Mytilus edulis: one gene and its partner. The protein of the gene in region 1 purifies or fractionates together with the protein of each later gene. This does not show direct contact. Links are inferred from orthologs where the notes say so. Each region holds a gene or a part of one and is shown on either strand. Other genes may lie near its edges.

The links. The genes of interacting proteins can lie anywhere in the genome.
Region 2: the proteins of mini-chromosome maintenance complex-binding protein-like (region 1) and DNA helicase MCM8-like purify together in Homo sapiens (co-immunoprecipitation; 3 studies listed by BioGRID and IntAct, with this or other methods). This does not show direct contact. The link is inferred for Mytilus edulis from reciprocal best matches to the Homo sapiens genes MCMBP and MCM8.

Annotation. Positions count from the first base shown.
Region 1 is NC_092347.1:70,576,193-70,585,144, forward strand, and holds the start of mini-chromosome maintenance complex-binding protein-like, read right to left. Parts: upstream 3,776-8,952; 5' UTR 3,685-3,775; coding exon 3,624-3,684; intron 439-3,623; coding exon 365-438; intron 1-364. UniProt on the Homo sapiens protein: Associated component of the MCM complex that acts as a regulator of DNA replication.
Region 2 is NC_092350.1:18,910,792-18,919,276, forward strand, and holds the start of DNA helicase MCM8-like, read left to right. Parts: upstream 1-4,609; 5' UTR 4,610-4,716; intron 4,717-7,891; 5' UTR 7,892-7,909; coding exon 7,910-8,042; intron 8,043-8,485. Other genes in the region: uncharacterized protein, read right to left, coding at 1-713, 1,593-1,667, 2,394-2,520. UniProt on the Homo sapiens protein: Component of the MCM8-MCM9 complex, a complex involved in the repair of double-stranded DNA breaks (DBSs) and DNA interstrand cross-links (ICLs) by homologous recombination (HR).

The DNA of each region.
Region 1 (8,952 bases):
TCAGATTATCTGGAGCTGTACTTTTCAAATACAATAACCCTTTCTACTATAAATACATATACATCATGACTTCACACCTACTGAACTTTTCATGCTATATACTTATTTATAAAAAATAAATGTGTGCATGCACAATTCTAATATTATGTTTGAAATTTCAACCTCCTTAACTAAACAAACTGAAGTCAAACGATTGACCTCCTTAAACTAATGTGCCACAGGCAAAAATATTTTACATCAAACTTGCATGTACCCCAATCAGGTCAATAGATTTAAACACATTAACTTACCTCCAACGAACGACATAAGAAACTTTTAACTTATCCCAACTTAGGGAAAAAGACTAAACCCCTCATTTACTTACCCAACTCAGGGCATAGTTGGTTTGCATCTTACTGCTGAAGTATTCTTTAACACCATTATCATTTTGTTTGTTTTCTGAAAGTATACAAAATCCAGTCTTCATAGGATAAATTTAGTGTTTCCTACAGGTGGTTTTGGCGTGTAATGGCGCCCTGCCGCGATTTCTCGACGCCCTGCCCTTTTTGGGAAAAAAAATTGGCGCCCTGCCCTAATTTTGTCGAAATTCCTGACGCCATGCCTTTATCGTCGTAATTAACAACCGGTACTGAAAGACATATATTATGAATACCGCTCGAGTTATTTCCCTTCAAAACAAAAGTTCACTAGGTCGCCATTTTGTAATCGATTTCATAATCAGCTGATTAGCAAACTGCAATAGATTGAATAGTGAATACAGATACTAATCACGGGTCCTGATTGTATCCGCCAAGTCCCAGAAACATCGTTTTGCCTAGAAGATTAATGAAAAAACATCGATGTGATGCTTAGATAATTTTTTTTTACAGCTGATAGATTTCTAATTTACATAATTTACATTGTTTGCATGGTTGAACAAGCCAATGAACGGCGATCATGAGACATTTGTCAAATTGAAAAGTAAAAATTCTTTGCAAACTATTTTTTAAATACAAATGCTTGACTGTACCTTAAATGAAATGAATAAAAATCCGAACTAAATTATTAAAAGCAGAATAATCCAGAAAATAAATGAATTCCTTGATCAAATGTTTTCTTTTGGTTTACAAACATGTCACATGATCATTTTAGGCGGGAAAAATACTTGGGAAAACACCTAAGTAACAGACAACTATGTCTGGCTATTTATAGACATTTAAAATAAACAGCTGATATATGGTAGTGCCATGAAAGTAGTAAAACTTGTTGTATCTATATTAATTTAATTTGGAAAAGGGTGTAGAGGGGAAGGGGTTAATTTGTAAAGTTATTTTTTTTTTGTAATTTAATAAATTTTGGTTACTAAAAATGACCCTGGATATCAGGGAATGTGTCAACCTGTTTTTAGGGAAAACAAGGAGGATTTGTCAATGACAATTGATATGACCAAAGCAATATTTTTATATACATGTATATGACATAGTGCTTTCTTGTTTTTAAAGAACTGATTTTGTTTTTAATTGTGTTTATTGTTTTAAATATTTCATATATATATGTTTTACACACTTTTTCTTGTTTAACAATTTGTTTTAATGATTGATTACAGATGTATATGTCCTTTTTATAGTATTAAACAAGTATGTTTTAAATGAATCCATTTTATAGAAATTGCCTGTTTATGTTAAGTAAGTGCCCTAAAATTGTTGTCCATCGCGCTCAATGTGCCCTCTGAGCTAACAATTACCCTGCCCTTTTTAAAAGCTGCAGGAAACACTAAAATTGTTACATGTACATGTTAATACATTGTAGAAGTAAATAAAAGATATATCATGTATATAATTATGTTGTTTTAACCCTTTAATTTTAGACATATACTATTATGATTCAGGAATGTTTTCAATAAATGAAAGGAAAGATGTGATGTACTTTATGATCAAACAACCCAACTCAATTGATTTTTTTACTACATTTGTACTAACATAAAGAAGTCTACATCCAAAATATTTTCTATGTTGAGAAAAAAAACCACAAAACTTTCTGTACATATATACACATGCATGGTATGATCTCTGTATTGAAGGCTTTATTTTGACCTATAAGTTTGTGAACCCAAGCTCTGTGTTGAAGGCTGAACTTTGACCAATAATTGTTAACTTGTATTTTAAACATGTGACATAGATCTATAGAGAAATGTCTTATTGACACATCTTAATTGTGTTAGGCAGACACAAATACACCCAGTCATCATGTTCAACCACAAGACCAAGTTTGTAAAATTCTTTATTATTGTCTGACTTCTATATACATGTATTTGCAGAAAAAAATCTTAAATTTTTATTTTTTTTTAATTTATATTTTTTTCCCTTGCCGATGATGTTACCAGAAATTTTTATGCATAATGGTAAAATGTACTCTCTCTTTTAAACATTAAACTAGAGGCTCTTAAGAGCCTGTGTTGCTCACCTTGGTCTATGTGCATATTAATTAAACTAAAGACACAGATGGATTAATGACAAAATTGTGTTTTGGTAATGGTGATGTGTTTGTAGATCTTACTTTACTGAACATTCTTGCTACTTACAATTATCTCTATCTATAATGAACATGACCCATTAGCATGATTAGTTACAGAGGAAATTATTTTGTTAAAATTTACAAAAATTTACAAAATTTATGAAAATTGACTGTAAAGGGCAATAACTCTTCAAGGGGTCAACTGACCATTTTGGTCAAGCTGACTTATTTGTAGATCTTACTTTGCTGAACATTATTGCTGTTTACAGTTTATCTCTATCTGTAATAATATTCAAGATAACCAAAAACAGCAAAATTTCCTTAAAATTGCCAATTCAGTGGCAGCAACCCAACAACCAGTTGTCTGATTCGTCTTAAAATTTCAGAGCAGATAGATCTGGACTTTATAAACAATTTGATCCATGTCAGATTTGCTCTAAATGCTTTGGTTTCAGAGTTATAAGCCAAATCTATATTTTACCCCCTATGTTTTATTTTTAGCCATGGCGGCTATCTTGGTTGGTTGGCCAGGTCACCACACACATTTGTTAAACTATATATCCCAAGGATGATTGTGGCAAAGTTTGGTTAAATTTGTAGTTTTAGAGGAAAAGATTTTAGTAAAAGTTAATGACGACAGACGCCAAGTGATAAAAAAAATTGACGGATTTTGACGAATTACATTTAATTTTCTAAATAATAACAGTAAAGATAATTATTTGAGACCTCTGACTTATCACAATTAGGATATTTCAACAAATCACATGACATTTTTAACCAATTTGACAGTAACGGTAGCTGAAAATAACAGTTTGCAGCTTGATGATAAATTAAGGGCATTATTTCCTACCCTCTTTATAAATGCGAAGACAGTATATTACCCTATAAGGAGCACATACAAGACAACTGCACATCATTACAACATTTCCAACAAAAGAAGCTTTTAATTATAAAGTGAGCCTTTAGGAGTTATGTGTCCAGTTAATACAAATAAAGCACATGTATACCTGTAAACAAGGACGTATATATTAGTTATACGTCCTTGCTGTAAATTATATGAATCAAAACTCATCAGGTATAATTTATATAAAAAAAAATACGTTGTCAATATCAGCGAATAATTGATTTACCAATAATGTTTTGAATTATAGCCAAAGGGTTATTTATCCAATCATCACCAATACCAGGCATTTTTTCTATAGTAGCAATCAACAAAATACTGAGGGACAGGAACAATGTGATGAGAAATGGCGGGAAATTAAAAGGACATTCTAGAACATAAACAGCAAACCCGTAATCAACGAAATTCTTTGACAACAATGATATCATAAATTGATCGTTCTTTTTTATTTTCAATATTTAACTTTTTTTTTTAAATCATAAACTTGTTACAAGTATACGATTGTATTCTAAAACATGATATATTCGAGAATCAAAATATAAATAATGATTTGTTTTCTTCACTCGGAACTTCTCGGCTGGTTCCATCCAACATATGCGAGATGCGCAGTGACCCGAATGTTTCGGTCTCACTAATCAGCGACAATCAGAATTCTAGCGACAAGAAGCGACAAAGAGAATTATTTTAGCGACAAGAACCGATAAGAAACTAGTAAGCGAAAAAATATCTTTTTTAATCAAAATTACTTATTCCAAATAAATATTAAAAAAGAATATGCAAAAGAAAACAATTTTAGCAACAAGAAAGCTAACATATTTGATAGAAAAAAATTGAAACATTTATTTACATGATATATTTGATAATCCCATTCTAAAGCATTGAAAGCCTCATTTATAACCGTTGACATGTTCCCCTACGACTATGTTCATTGACTTTGGTACTAAACAAAACAAAATAGGCACTGGCTACGGTTACATGGAAATGTAACAATAATAAAAATGTTATTGTTACATTGGAGACTAATTGCCGGAATGCAAAGTTGGGCGAGGAACCGATTAATTACAAATGTAACAATAATTACTGAGGCTACGGTTAAATTACATTATTGTTACATGAAAAACAGCAATGTACGCTAGATTGATTAAACTTAAATCTTCTATAGTTGTATTGCTTCATTCTTTCATATGTACTAAACAATACTAGTCTTGTAATTTAATACTAATAAATAATCAAATATTATTATTCAACAAATGGTGTACAACTTGAATAGTTTTACTACGTATTTATGGTTTTGATGTTCTTAAAGATACTACTCAAGATTAGGAGTGTAACTGTCAAAGGCGAAAAATATAGTTCAATGGTTTCACTTTTTTAAAGTATTTAACTGCACACCTCTTATTACTGTCATTATACTTTGGGCCAATTTTGTTTATGGTGAAAAAAATAAAACTTGGGATGCGTTTTAAACCAAACTGAAACAATATCAAGACAGACATTTCATACAGCTTTATAACTTGACGCAAATTGATAATCAAAAGCAAAGTTTGCTAACTGTAACGTACATTGCTTTTTTCATGTAACAATAACGCAATGTATTAACCGTAGCCTCAATAATTATTGTTAAATTCGTAATTAAACAGGTCCTTACCCAACCATGCATTCCGGCATTAAGTCCGAGGCTCCAATGTAACAATAATATTTTTATTATTGTTACATTTCCATGTAACCGTAGCCAGTGCCAACAAAATATGCATTTATATATTATAGTGCACAACAAAATAATTTATATGTTGTGTTTCTCAAGTTTTATTCTCGCTATTTTAAATTCATAGTACGTTTTCACAAGCAGGGAATTTAAAATATTTAAAGGAATCACTAATTCCAGAGAAATATGTTTGTTAGTTAATACATAATGTCAGTTTATATATAAAAAAAAATCAACCAAATACTGTTCATTTATAATGAAGACTTCAGAATAAAGTAAATGTTAGTTATTCGCCGGTTGTCATGTTCATGGTGAATGAAAAAAAAAGTTAAAAATCATTCAATAAGTAATTTCAAGACCTTCGAAGGAATACACCACTAAAACAAGTGCCGTGTTACACTTTACATGTAGCATATGTTTTTCTCCTAGTTTATCCTGAAATTCGTTTGTTCAATCAATATATTTAAATATTGGATAAAAGTATTGAATAATAACAATTGTATATTACATGGTTGTTACAATTATTTATATGATATGTGTTTAAAGAATCCAAATGACAAAAATAACTGGGTTTGTAATATACGAAAGGAATTGTTCCATCTTAGTTTAAATGATTTGTGGTATTCACAAAATTCTTTATGTAAAGATCATATTATTGTTATTAAACAGAGACTTTGTGGTATTGTCAAACAAGAGTTTGATGCTACTTTAGAAAGTTCATCAAAATGTTTTTTGAAATGTCCTGTCAGCACTAGTTCGATGGTGAAATCGTTGTGAAATACCGGCTTTCTTGATTCTTCTAACCAAGTAAATATGATATGCTCTTTATAGGAGTAGCTGTTATGACGTTTTAGTTTAAAATTGTACTACTGAAGCACATATTAGCTATTACTAGTTGTTAGCTATATATTTACAGTTGATATTGTAGTGGGTGAGTATCTTTTGCTTGTTTGTTGATTATTGAAAAGTGTAAAATCAGACTTGAAGAATGACTATTTTCAATTTAAAAGAATATATTTATGCAAGAAATAAGTTATGGATAAACGTCAATTAGCACATAAGACAACAATTTTTCCTCAAATTTGTTGTCAATTATATATAATATTTGTACAAGAACAGGAGGATCTATAGGTATATGTATGCCTATAAGCATTACGCATTAATAGGTCAATTTCTGCTACCATTAATTTAGGCTAGTGTTAAATTGGTTAATATATATTTTACTGTTTATTCTTCAAAATCTCCTTATCATTATTCATCAGCGAGGGTAAATCTATGTCCCATTGACACATTCTCCATTTATTTATTTATGATACAACATCAATATGAAAACCATGACATGTCTTTCACGACAGGAGCAGTAGTTTTTTTTGCTATAACTGTAAACCAGGCAATACATGTTTCTCGGGTAACAGTTATATTAAAAAACAAAACAAATATTAATAGAATATTATTTGTAAATTTTCTGTTTCAGAAATAGAAAATGTCGTCAACTGACAGAAACAAACTCCTAATGGGAGACAACAAGTCTATGTTATCAGCTAGTTCATCATTAATGTCGAAATGGTCACTAAAGACAGAATTGACATCACAAACTGGTATGTTTTTATTTTACAATATAAATTTAAACAGCATGAATTTTTATATGAATATTTTGATGATTAAAAGTAGATGTGACTTGTGAGATAAAAGTCAATAATACAGAAACCTGACAACACAAAAACTCAGTAAGATACATAGTTGTCAACACAGTCTTTAACCATAGTCTAGTGTTTATACATTGATTCTTTACGCTATGAATTGAGCAGTATAATGCCAAGAGTCTAGAAAGCTTTGTGCATATCAAACTAAGAATAACCAAGATCAGCCAATAAATTTTCTAGCACACAAGATCATTAAAATTTATTTGAAGGCAACCAATTACTGTTTTGACAATGTTCCTAATTTTGTGCACATGTATTATTATAAAGATAATGTTTTTTGTATAGATATATGATATCCAATTTTTCTTTGCAGTCATATTTGTGTAAACCCATACCCGATATTTATAAAAAGTGTATTGTTAAATTTAGATTAATTTTGTCATCACATAATCTAGCTATAGAGAAGGGAAGGTATTCCAATGTTAATAGAAACCTTAGAACCTGTACATTGTGTATTGATGATATTGAGGATGAAATGCATTTTATTTTATCATGTCCATTATATTCTAATCTGCGTGAATGTTTGATTAAACCATATTATTGGCGTAAGCCATCTGTTTATAAACTGTTACAATTATCAAGCACTACTAATGTAAAAGACTTGTGCAACTTGGGAAAATATATATTTAGAGCACTGAAGCTCAGAAATGACTGTTTTTAGTAAAATGTTTTGTAATTCATTTGTTACAAATATTTGCTATTTGGAATTACATTTATATGTATTTATATTTTGTGTATTTAAAACTTCTGTCTGTTTTGTCATGATCGTATATTTAAATAAAAAATTGTAATATATATTTAGTATATATTGATTATGCATGTACCTATATGTTGTAAAACATTTGGTTAATAAAGAATTGAATTGAATCCAGCTGTCATTTTGTGGTGATTATCTATAATTCGTTGATTCGTGACCTACAACCAAATAAATGATAATCACAAAACTTATTACAAATAAACCTTAATATTTGCGTTTTTTTCTTCTGTAATGAACATTTTGTTTTATCCACCAAGCAAGGTCATGATTTATTGTGATATGACGTGTGAGGTACAGCCAACTATATTAGAGTGTTACCTATGGCTTGGAAATATATTGGGAGCCATTAAACATTTGAGATGGCTTTCTGCTGGGAACAGTATATCAATATATATATGTTCTTGCTTTCTGCAACTGTTAGCAAGTCAGGAAACTGACTTTTCATTGGTTGTCTATTAAATGTGATACCTTCACGTATTTTGTTATTTTTATAGCTTTGAGTATAGATATAGTAAAGCATATAATTACCATTATTATGATAAAATAACATTGAACAGCAACTATTTTTAACGATTTTTTCTTGTTCAAATTGTAAAAGCCTTTATAGCTTCAGGGATGCTGTGCCCCCCTGACCCACTGCCTCGGTATAAACAGAAGGCAAGTTATGCCACTGGCAATAAAACAAGGGACACGCGTCGCGCCTCGTTAATCTCATTTGATGTTCTACATTGTGTATTACCTTAGGGTGAAGCCACACTAGCTAACGTTGGTCCTATCAGGAAAAATGAATTGAACAGTTAGAAAGGAAACAATATTTCATGTTTTTGTTTCAATAAATCCTTCAAAGGAAAGTGAAAAATCTTTGTTTATAAATATTTTCATTTTATAGCGTGTGCATTTCCTTTGCTCTTACAAATATTTAATTTCTTCATCTATCAATATAATAATAAAAAAAATCAATTTATTTCTGCCCGTATATCAAAAAAGACTAAATGCATATTTTCTTTATATTTAATAAAAAAAATGTTTTCTTGTAGCTAAATAGCTTCTTGTCGCTAAAATTATTCTTCTTGACGCTTCTTGTCGCTTCTTGACGCTTTTTGTCACTAATTAGTGAGACCCGAATGTTTTGTTTGGACTACGACTTTTGGTTTAGGAAAATGTCCTGTCAGCACTAGTTCGATGGTGAAATCGTTGTGAAATACCGGCTTTCTTGATTCTTCTAACCAAGTAAATATGATATGCTCTTTATAGGAGTAGCTGTTATGACGTTTTAGTTTAAAATTGTACTACTGAAGCACATATTAGCTATTACTAGTTGTTAGCTACATGTATATATTTACAGTTGATATTGTAGTGGGTGAGTATCTTTTGCTTGTTTGTTGATTATTGA
Region 2 (8,485 bases), on another chromosome or scaffold:
CCTGTATGTGCTTCGTTTTCTGTCACAACTGCTACCCTGTGAATCTGTATCTTGATATGAGTTATCAAGACTTATTCCAGAATCTTCGTCGTCCTTTTCATCGTCGCTCGCATCTCCATTTTCTTCTCTTATATCATCAAAATCAAAAGTTCTGCCCATTACAGATTTTTCCCTGACACACATTAGATTTTCCTTATATCTTTGGTGCGCATTTTCAACACGTTCCAATTTCTTTTCTAGCTTCATTTTCTTCTCGTCTTCGCTTTGTTTTAATCTTTCCAAGACTTCAGCCCTTCGATTGTCATAAGTTTTTGCTATGTCCGGAATCATGGCAGATTTATCTGGAACCACTTTGTTTATTTTTTGTTCGTATTTTAGTTTGGTTTCTTCTTGTTTCTTTTGAATCCGTTCCAGAACTTCTGCCCTCTTCTCGTCATATTTTTTGGTAACAGAGGTAGAAGAGTTAGGTTTTTCCCTATTCATTGCGTTATCTAATTTCATTTTTCTCTCCTGTTCCTTTTTTTGAATTCTATCTAGCACTTCAGAACGTTTTGTTTCATATTTTTTCACTGTGTCCGATACAAGATCAGGTTTGGTTGTTGACTGTGTCCGTCTTAATTTCTCTTGAGCACGAGCTTTCTTCTCCGCCTCTATTTCGTCTCGCTTTGCCAGATTTTGATGACGTTTTTCTTCAAATTGTTTACACTGTTCAACTGAAATTATTAAAATGAAGTAAATAAGTATATTAATAATTTTCGTTTAAAGAGGTTTTCTCCATTAGTTAAAACTTAACTTCTTGGGGTTCTCAAAGTAACATTTTAAACCCGCTGCATTTGTTTGCACCTGTCCTAAGTCATGAATCTGATGTTCAGTAGTTGTCGTTTGTTGATGTGGTTCATAGTAAGTGTTTCTGGTATCTCCCTCACGCAAAGCTCTGATTCCTTTCATGGATTTGATTATACTTTTTGGACCTTTTGGATTATAGCTCTTCATCTTTTATATAGGCTTTGGATTTCAAATATTTTGGCCATCAGCATCACTGAAGAGACATTTATTGTCGAAATGCGCATCTGTACTGGTGCAGGAAAATTGGTACCGTTTATGTTATTTCTCGTTTCTCGTCTTTAATATATATTAGAACATTGGTATTCCCCGTTGAAATGGTTTTACACATGTCATTTTTGGAACCCTTCATAGCTTGCAGTTTGGTGTGAGCCACGGCTCCGGTGTTAAAGACCGTACTTTGACCTATAATGGTTTACTTTTAAAAATGTTGTAAGCAAGAGGTGCCACTTCCAACGGGAATAAGAAATAAGTACTGACAAGTATGCTTCATAGATATAGTGCATGTCATTAATATGTTTTATGTACTGTTCACTTGTGTATTGTTTTTGAAGATTTCTAACTTAATATACCTAAGTCCTCACTCGTAAAGAAGGTCGCGAAGTTTTTTACGGGTATATTCATGATTGAATTATTTGATATAATAGTTTATTGTGTTTATTTGTTGGTTTTATCTATGAAAGAGCTCCTTTCCTTGATTGCAACATTGAAATGTTTATTTTTGCCTATAATCAAAACAAAAACAATACCTTTGGATTCCAAATCTTTCTGTCGAGCGATTTCTGCTATTATACGCCTTTCATCTCTGTCAAACTTCACTGTAGCTGGATAGAAGAAAGGAAGTTTGTCATCAAAGTAGAAATATGTACATATAGCAATAGCACACTGGAATTGAGAAATAAATGCTGAAATATATATCTAACACAAACAAACAAAACACACAAACGATCACAAATAAATTCAAAAGGTTCCAAAGGTGCAATAAAAACACAAGTTAAAGATAACAGACAATTCCGTGCTCAATAGGAACAAACGGAATGGAAAAAAATGTATCCACAAATAACAGATGTGCAGAAAACTGAAGAAATAAGCAAAACACGAATCCCACAAAGAAACTCGATAAACTCAGATGCTCTGGAATGGTCCTGATGACAACATCCCTATAAGTTATTGACAAAACAAAACAACTGTATGTGTACTACAGTTCTTCCACTTTCATTACATTACAGTGAGGCATTAAATACGGGAAAAAAGTTCCACATGAGAAGACATTGTCATCGGTTTTAATTGTATTCTTTGGTTAAATGGTGATAACATGAATAACACAGATGCAGAGTATTATAAAACAATAAACTATATCGAGCAAAGAAGTCATAAGTTGCCCGGCAGAGACAATGCAAATATCTAGACAACCATTGATCACGTTAAGATATTTGTGAGATTCTAGTTTTCAAGAATTAATGACGAATATTTATCCCTTAAAAAGCAAACATGGAATATATATATCAATGTCATTTCCAGTAAATATTGTTCTATTAAAGCATACCTACATCGTTTACTGTTCAGATCATCATATAAAATGTCGGACATGAGCTTTCGTTCATCAAGGCTGTACTGTTGTTGGAGTTTGTGTTGTTTCTTTGGTGTTTCACTGGCTGGAACATAAAAGGCTGGCATGTTTCTTCTTTACGGAACTAACAAGAATTCATGAAACAAATTGTCTGGTGTCTTTTTAAAAATCTAAAATATACATACAAACGTCATTAAAACGACTAGGTTCCTTTATTTTATTTTGTGACTGGGAAAAATAAGCGCTGAATTTTTAACTAAATATGCTGCATATTTCTCAATCATGTAAGTTATTATTTAGTGGACTTGGTTTGGATAATATGCCGCGGCACAAAAGGAGGAACTTTGCTCTCCCGGTTTTCAAAGAGTAGTTGAAACGATGCATAATTATAGATAAAAGAAAAAGTTAAAAAATAGATAAAAGAAAAAGTTAAAAAGAAAAGTTAATATACAAAATTTACTATTAAAGTTATGCTTACTTTGAAAGGTTTTCCTATTCTGTCCAGTTCAGTGACGAGTTAGTGTGTCATTATAATAATCATCAGTTTTATTGTATTTAGTAACAATACTATTGAGAGTTATGGTTGTTGTGGCTTTTATTGGATCCCACTGAAAAATTAATGAATCTCTCAGTCACTGATGGAACCGTATTAAATATTCATGAAAGATAAGGAATACATGTATATTATGATCATATTGCAATAGTACAAGCTTCATAGTTCTCTGGGTGTCACGATTTAATTATATTTACAATGTTATTGAAGTGTTATTGGTTTACACATGTACTACTGGTTTTATTCTTACATTAAGGCTATTTAGAAATTTGTATAATCGGCTTTTAGCTAGTATGGAAGATATTAATCTGAGATTTGAAGTTCAGATCTATCTCCACTCGTTTGCTCGTAAAGCTTTACTAAATATATACTTCTAGAAATGTCCAAGCATGTTAACCATTTGTTAATTTATACTATACGTAAACAATTTAATACTGTATTAATACGAGCAGTGGAAATCTATGGTTGAAAACGGGATATAATACATCAACCATTCAAAAACTTTTAAAACGGTATCATACAAGTACACACTAAAGAGGTGTCGAAGAAAACACCCCCATTAAATGATAGACCGCGTATGTAAACCAGATGAAATCAAATAAATTGACGCCTTCATTAATATCAACAGAACTCATTTGTATCATATGTCTCTGATAAGAATAAGCATGAGATCTTTGTATGTATCTTTTACAACCCAATTACAACTTTTTTTATATATTTGGTGGTTCCGAATATACAAATATTGATGAGAGCTAGCCTATGGGTTATTATCAACCACCACAGTTCTGACTGGCAACATTTTTTTAGTTGAAAAATGAAAATGAAAAGAAGACACTCACTTCTAGACTATAGAGAAGCTTCTTTTTTTGCCAGTCACTTTCAGAAGTTTATTCCCCCCAATGGCACCGAAAAGAAAGCCAAGTCACACTTTTGACCGGCTAGCTGCTTTAACAAAAAAAGTTATCAAATCTGATCAGTGTTCCAGAGACCACACTTTGATATCATTTGTCTTTTACACAAATTGATCTGATTTTAAAAACCAAATGCCTTTTACATTTTACATGGTAATCGAAATATTATAATGGAACATTTAAAATTATAAAAGGATGATTAATATTCCGGCATATTTAGTTCACTCGCATTTCTTCCCACTGGGGATATAGACGATGGTCTGGATATCTTGTGGTGTCTAACTTATTTAACTTTATTTGGGCAAATTTCGTTATCTTTAGAAATAATGCTAATTTTGTAAAATTCTAATGAGAATGCGTTTTATAGTATTTTTTTTCTGTAATTAAACCAGGATATGTATAGTGAGATATCCTTGAATTAGATAACTTCTTTATCATCTGTTTTTTTTTCTTTCTGTAATTTATTCATATTCAAACTTGTATTATCTAACAGGATTTGCCGTATATATTGTCTTTTTTTTTTTATCCCGTCGACAGATGTCTTTTATATATATACTTTGCGCCCCATTATAGATTATTTATTTATTTTTCAGCCAAATTTTACTCTTTTTCATATTTTTGCCATTTACTCCTATTCTTTAAAAACCCTCTTTACTTTAAACACCATCAAACCGGCCCTCATTTCGCTAACATACAAATCCGTAATTGTCACAAGTCTTTTTCCGATATGACCCGGATTTATTTTAAAGGCCAAATTACGCGGGAAATATAATCAAAAGTGAAAGTAGAACTCAACAGTTGAATAATACCTTGCAACCTGTTTGAAATAGCGTAATATGGTATATCGATAGTTTCATGGTATAATGCTTCAAGGGCAGACAATATTTATGATCTAAAATATGTTTTCCTTGAAATTTTTACACGAATTAGAAATTTGTATTTGTTTAGAGAAATATAACCACAGGTCTTTCTTTTCTATAGCTGCGAATGAAGTCCATCCAGAGAAACATATAATACTTATATGTGTCTGATCAAGGATTTGTATAGTACAAATCCTTGGTCTAATTGATCTTAGGATATTAATTATATTTTATAAATTTACCGTCCACAGAGCTTGGTTAATATTACTAGTCCAAATAATTATGATGTCCGGGACGCCTTCCTACGACGTCGAATGAAATAAACAACTACACTGGTAAACATTGATTAACTAATAGAAATCTGCCATTCCTGTGACATCACTTTCATCTTCTGATTAACAAGTGAAATTTGAAGCTGATATATTTGTACCTTCATATAATACATGGTACCAATTCAAATTTTTGAGAAATTGCACTGTTGCAATTTCATTTTCCAATGGTGCCTATCCCCCCTGAAATTCTTATGCATTGAATAAACTACAAAATGATGTATGACACAATTAAATCTGTTGTCATAATCATTCCTAGCAGGTCAATTGTTAATTATTCCAAGAATCATGAAAACAAAAGAATGATGAAGAAATAAATAAATGGCTCTTCATCAGTACATACCTGTCAACTGACCCGTATTCTGCGGGTGTGACCCGAGATTTTCACAATTCTGAGGGATCACCCAGGACACCTGCCAGGTCATTGAATAACCCGAGAATTCCAAAAATGACCCGTTTTCACCCGTATTTCGTAGCCTTGAGATTGATCTTCTAAGTAATATATTCCTTTGAAATACCGGCAAATTCGTAATTCTTCCATGAACAGGAAGTTAGCTGTGTAAACTGTCAAATTAAGTTGCCCATTAAGTGCATGGCTTCACTTGACAGCGTTGGTGTCAAACACACTGTTAATTAATACCAATTACCTTAGCTTTAGGTCGTAAATAAATTGCACAGTTGTTTTACAAACATATTTCAACTAGATTTACTTCCCCTTTTTTGTCACCATTCAAAATTATTCCTCATATTTACGTTTTTGGGGTGAAAAAGATTAAATCTTAAAAAAATAAAATTCAAATACATATTGCAATATAACTTTTCATTATTTTTATATCTTTATACAATTTAAAAAAAAAAGTTGAAAATTATTTTGTTCATCTATACTTCTTTTAACTATATTACTATATTTTATTATAAGTCTAATTTCAATTGAAAATTTAATGATTTGTTTTATGGCTGATAGCTGGTTTCAAACATAGAATTACTTATGGAAAATATATCCTAGTATTTGGTGTGTGAGGTTGAATTACATCACCACTATGAGTAAAGAACATAAGACTGTGTTACACAAATTTATAAAAATCTTTAAAAAGTGCAATGAAACAATAATTAATAAGATTTAAAATTACTTAACCAAGTGAACATGCATTGATGTTTTGGTAACTTTGATTTAAATTATAAGAAAAATGTACAATAAATACTGAAATTCAGCTCGAAAAAGTTTGTACGCGTTATGACCTGAGATTTGATTCTTCAATGCAGGTCATGACCTGCATTTTCATCGTCACAAGTTGACAGGTATGTCAGTATAACATAAGAAACAAAGAAGAGATATGATAATGAATTTATAAAATAAAAATATGCATGCAAGTAAGTAAGCAGTTACTCTTAAAAAGAAGTTTACACACTAAAAACCTTTTTAAGATTTTCAAAAGTTAGAGGGTATGTACTCTAAGGATTCATTAAAGTGTGTATTGAACATAGAGAAGAAAAGAACTTGTTTATTATTAAATACAATTTATAAAAAAAATTACCTGATCAGAAATTGTCCATTATGATAGCTCCTTTAGTAGGTATAGTCTTCTTTATTTCATTATTAAGCATTTTTGGACTTAATGATTAAAATGAAAAATCACACAAATGCATCTCTTTTCAAATAGTGTTTTTCTTATGTTTCCATTTCTTTTTTTGTAAAATTGATTTACTATCTGCTAAGAATTGAATTGTAATTTAAGTGACCTTTCCTACTGTGAGGTGAAGTCTGTCAGCACTTAAATAATTATGACAGAATAGTCCAAGCCATCTGACAACATGCACTAATTAGTCATAATTTGCATTGTCATAGGTCATGCATTAATAATGATCTAGGTCAGTGATTGTTCCATACTTCATACTTAAATTCAAATTCTTTATTAACTTTGAGCCTTACAGCTCATCAGTATAATCAAGTACCGGGTACATGTACAGTTTATACATATGGCATATTACAAACAATATAAACAATATGCATAATAAACAATAGGTGACGTCAGAAGTTTCATCAATACAAAATATCTTTTATTACAATAAACTGTTTCTTAATTTAAAAGAGAAATGTATATACTTTCCTAAATTACAAAGCTGTTTTGTGTTTTCACCTGACAATAATTCTATTAATTTAAAAGTTGATGGCCTAGACCAGTAATATTTTTTTACATATTTTTTTCGCAAATCAGTATATCTACTACATTGAAGGATGAAATGAAATTCATCCTCTATTACTCCTAAATCACAAAAAATACAATTTGTTTTATTTCTATTAGCAAATGATTAGTACCAACATAACGACCAGTTTCAATACAAAGGTTATGTGAAGACAAATGAATCCTTGTCACACTTCATAGATACCCTTAAATAATAGATAACCTTTAAATGTCTTTTTTGTGTTTTATGGGGATGCTGTCTCCAGAAAAAAAAATGCTGTCTCGAGACATATACTACTCTTTATAACTTTATTCATCTGCAAAAGTATATTAAAGATGAAAAGCTATAATGGTCATGTATACTACATAAAAATCCAAAGAGATGCAATGGTTGTCTATTTATTTTTTGGCATTTTAAAACAGAAAGATGTAGCCAGTGGGTAAACTAGCTAACTTTATAATTCTTGGAAAAATATATATAACTGTCAATATAAATATTTTCAAAAAAAAGATTGATGGGGTCAGAATCCTATTATATGTGTGTTTGTCATTTGAATTATTATTTCTGAATGTATAAATGTACAATGATGTACATGTACAAGAAAGAATAATGTGTCTTTATTAAATTAACTATTTTGTAAGGTATAAAGTACAATCAGGATGAGCCAAACAAGTACCTCCAGTGCTGGTAGCTGGCAGGGAGGGAGAGGATGGAGAGGTCGAGGCTGGTGGAGAGGTCGTGGTGGAGGTCGTTACTACAGTCACCATGGAAACAGAGGGAGAGGCAATTCACGTAAATTTATTTAACATTAAATTGCATAATTATATGGTGAATATCAAATTTATTATTAGTATCGACTTATGCTAAAATATACATTTGTACTAATACTAATCATATGAATTATATAGTTGAATGCTTACTATCCAGCAAAAAATATAAGTTGTATGGCCTAATCATGCTAATGGAAAAGAGGGATTTGAGGGATTGAAGAATGGTGTTTTTTGCATGCAACTCTCAAAACAGCAAAGAAAATTGAATTTGAAATATCTTTAACTTGTATTGGTGGGACTAAATGTGTATTGAAAAGTTATTGCGTTTATGTTTATAACCCTTTGGGAACATGGGAACAATTAACACAACAGTGCTTATGCCTGGTCACAAATTTTGATATATTTAACATATTGACTTGAAATATAATAAGCAATCTATCAAGAAAAAGATGAAAAGTTTGAAAC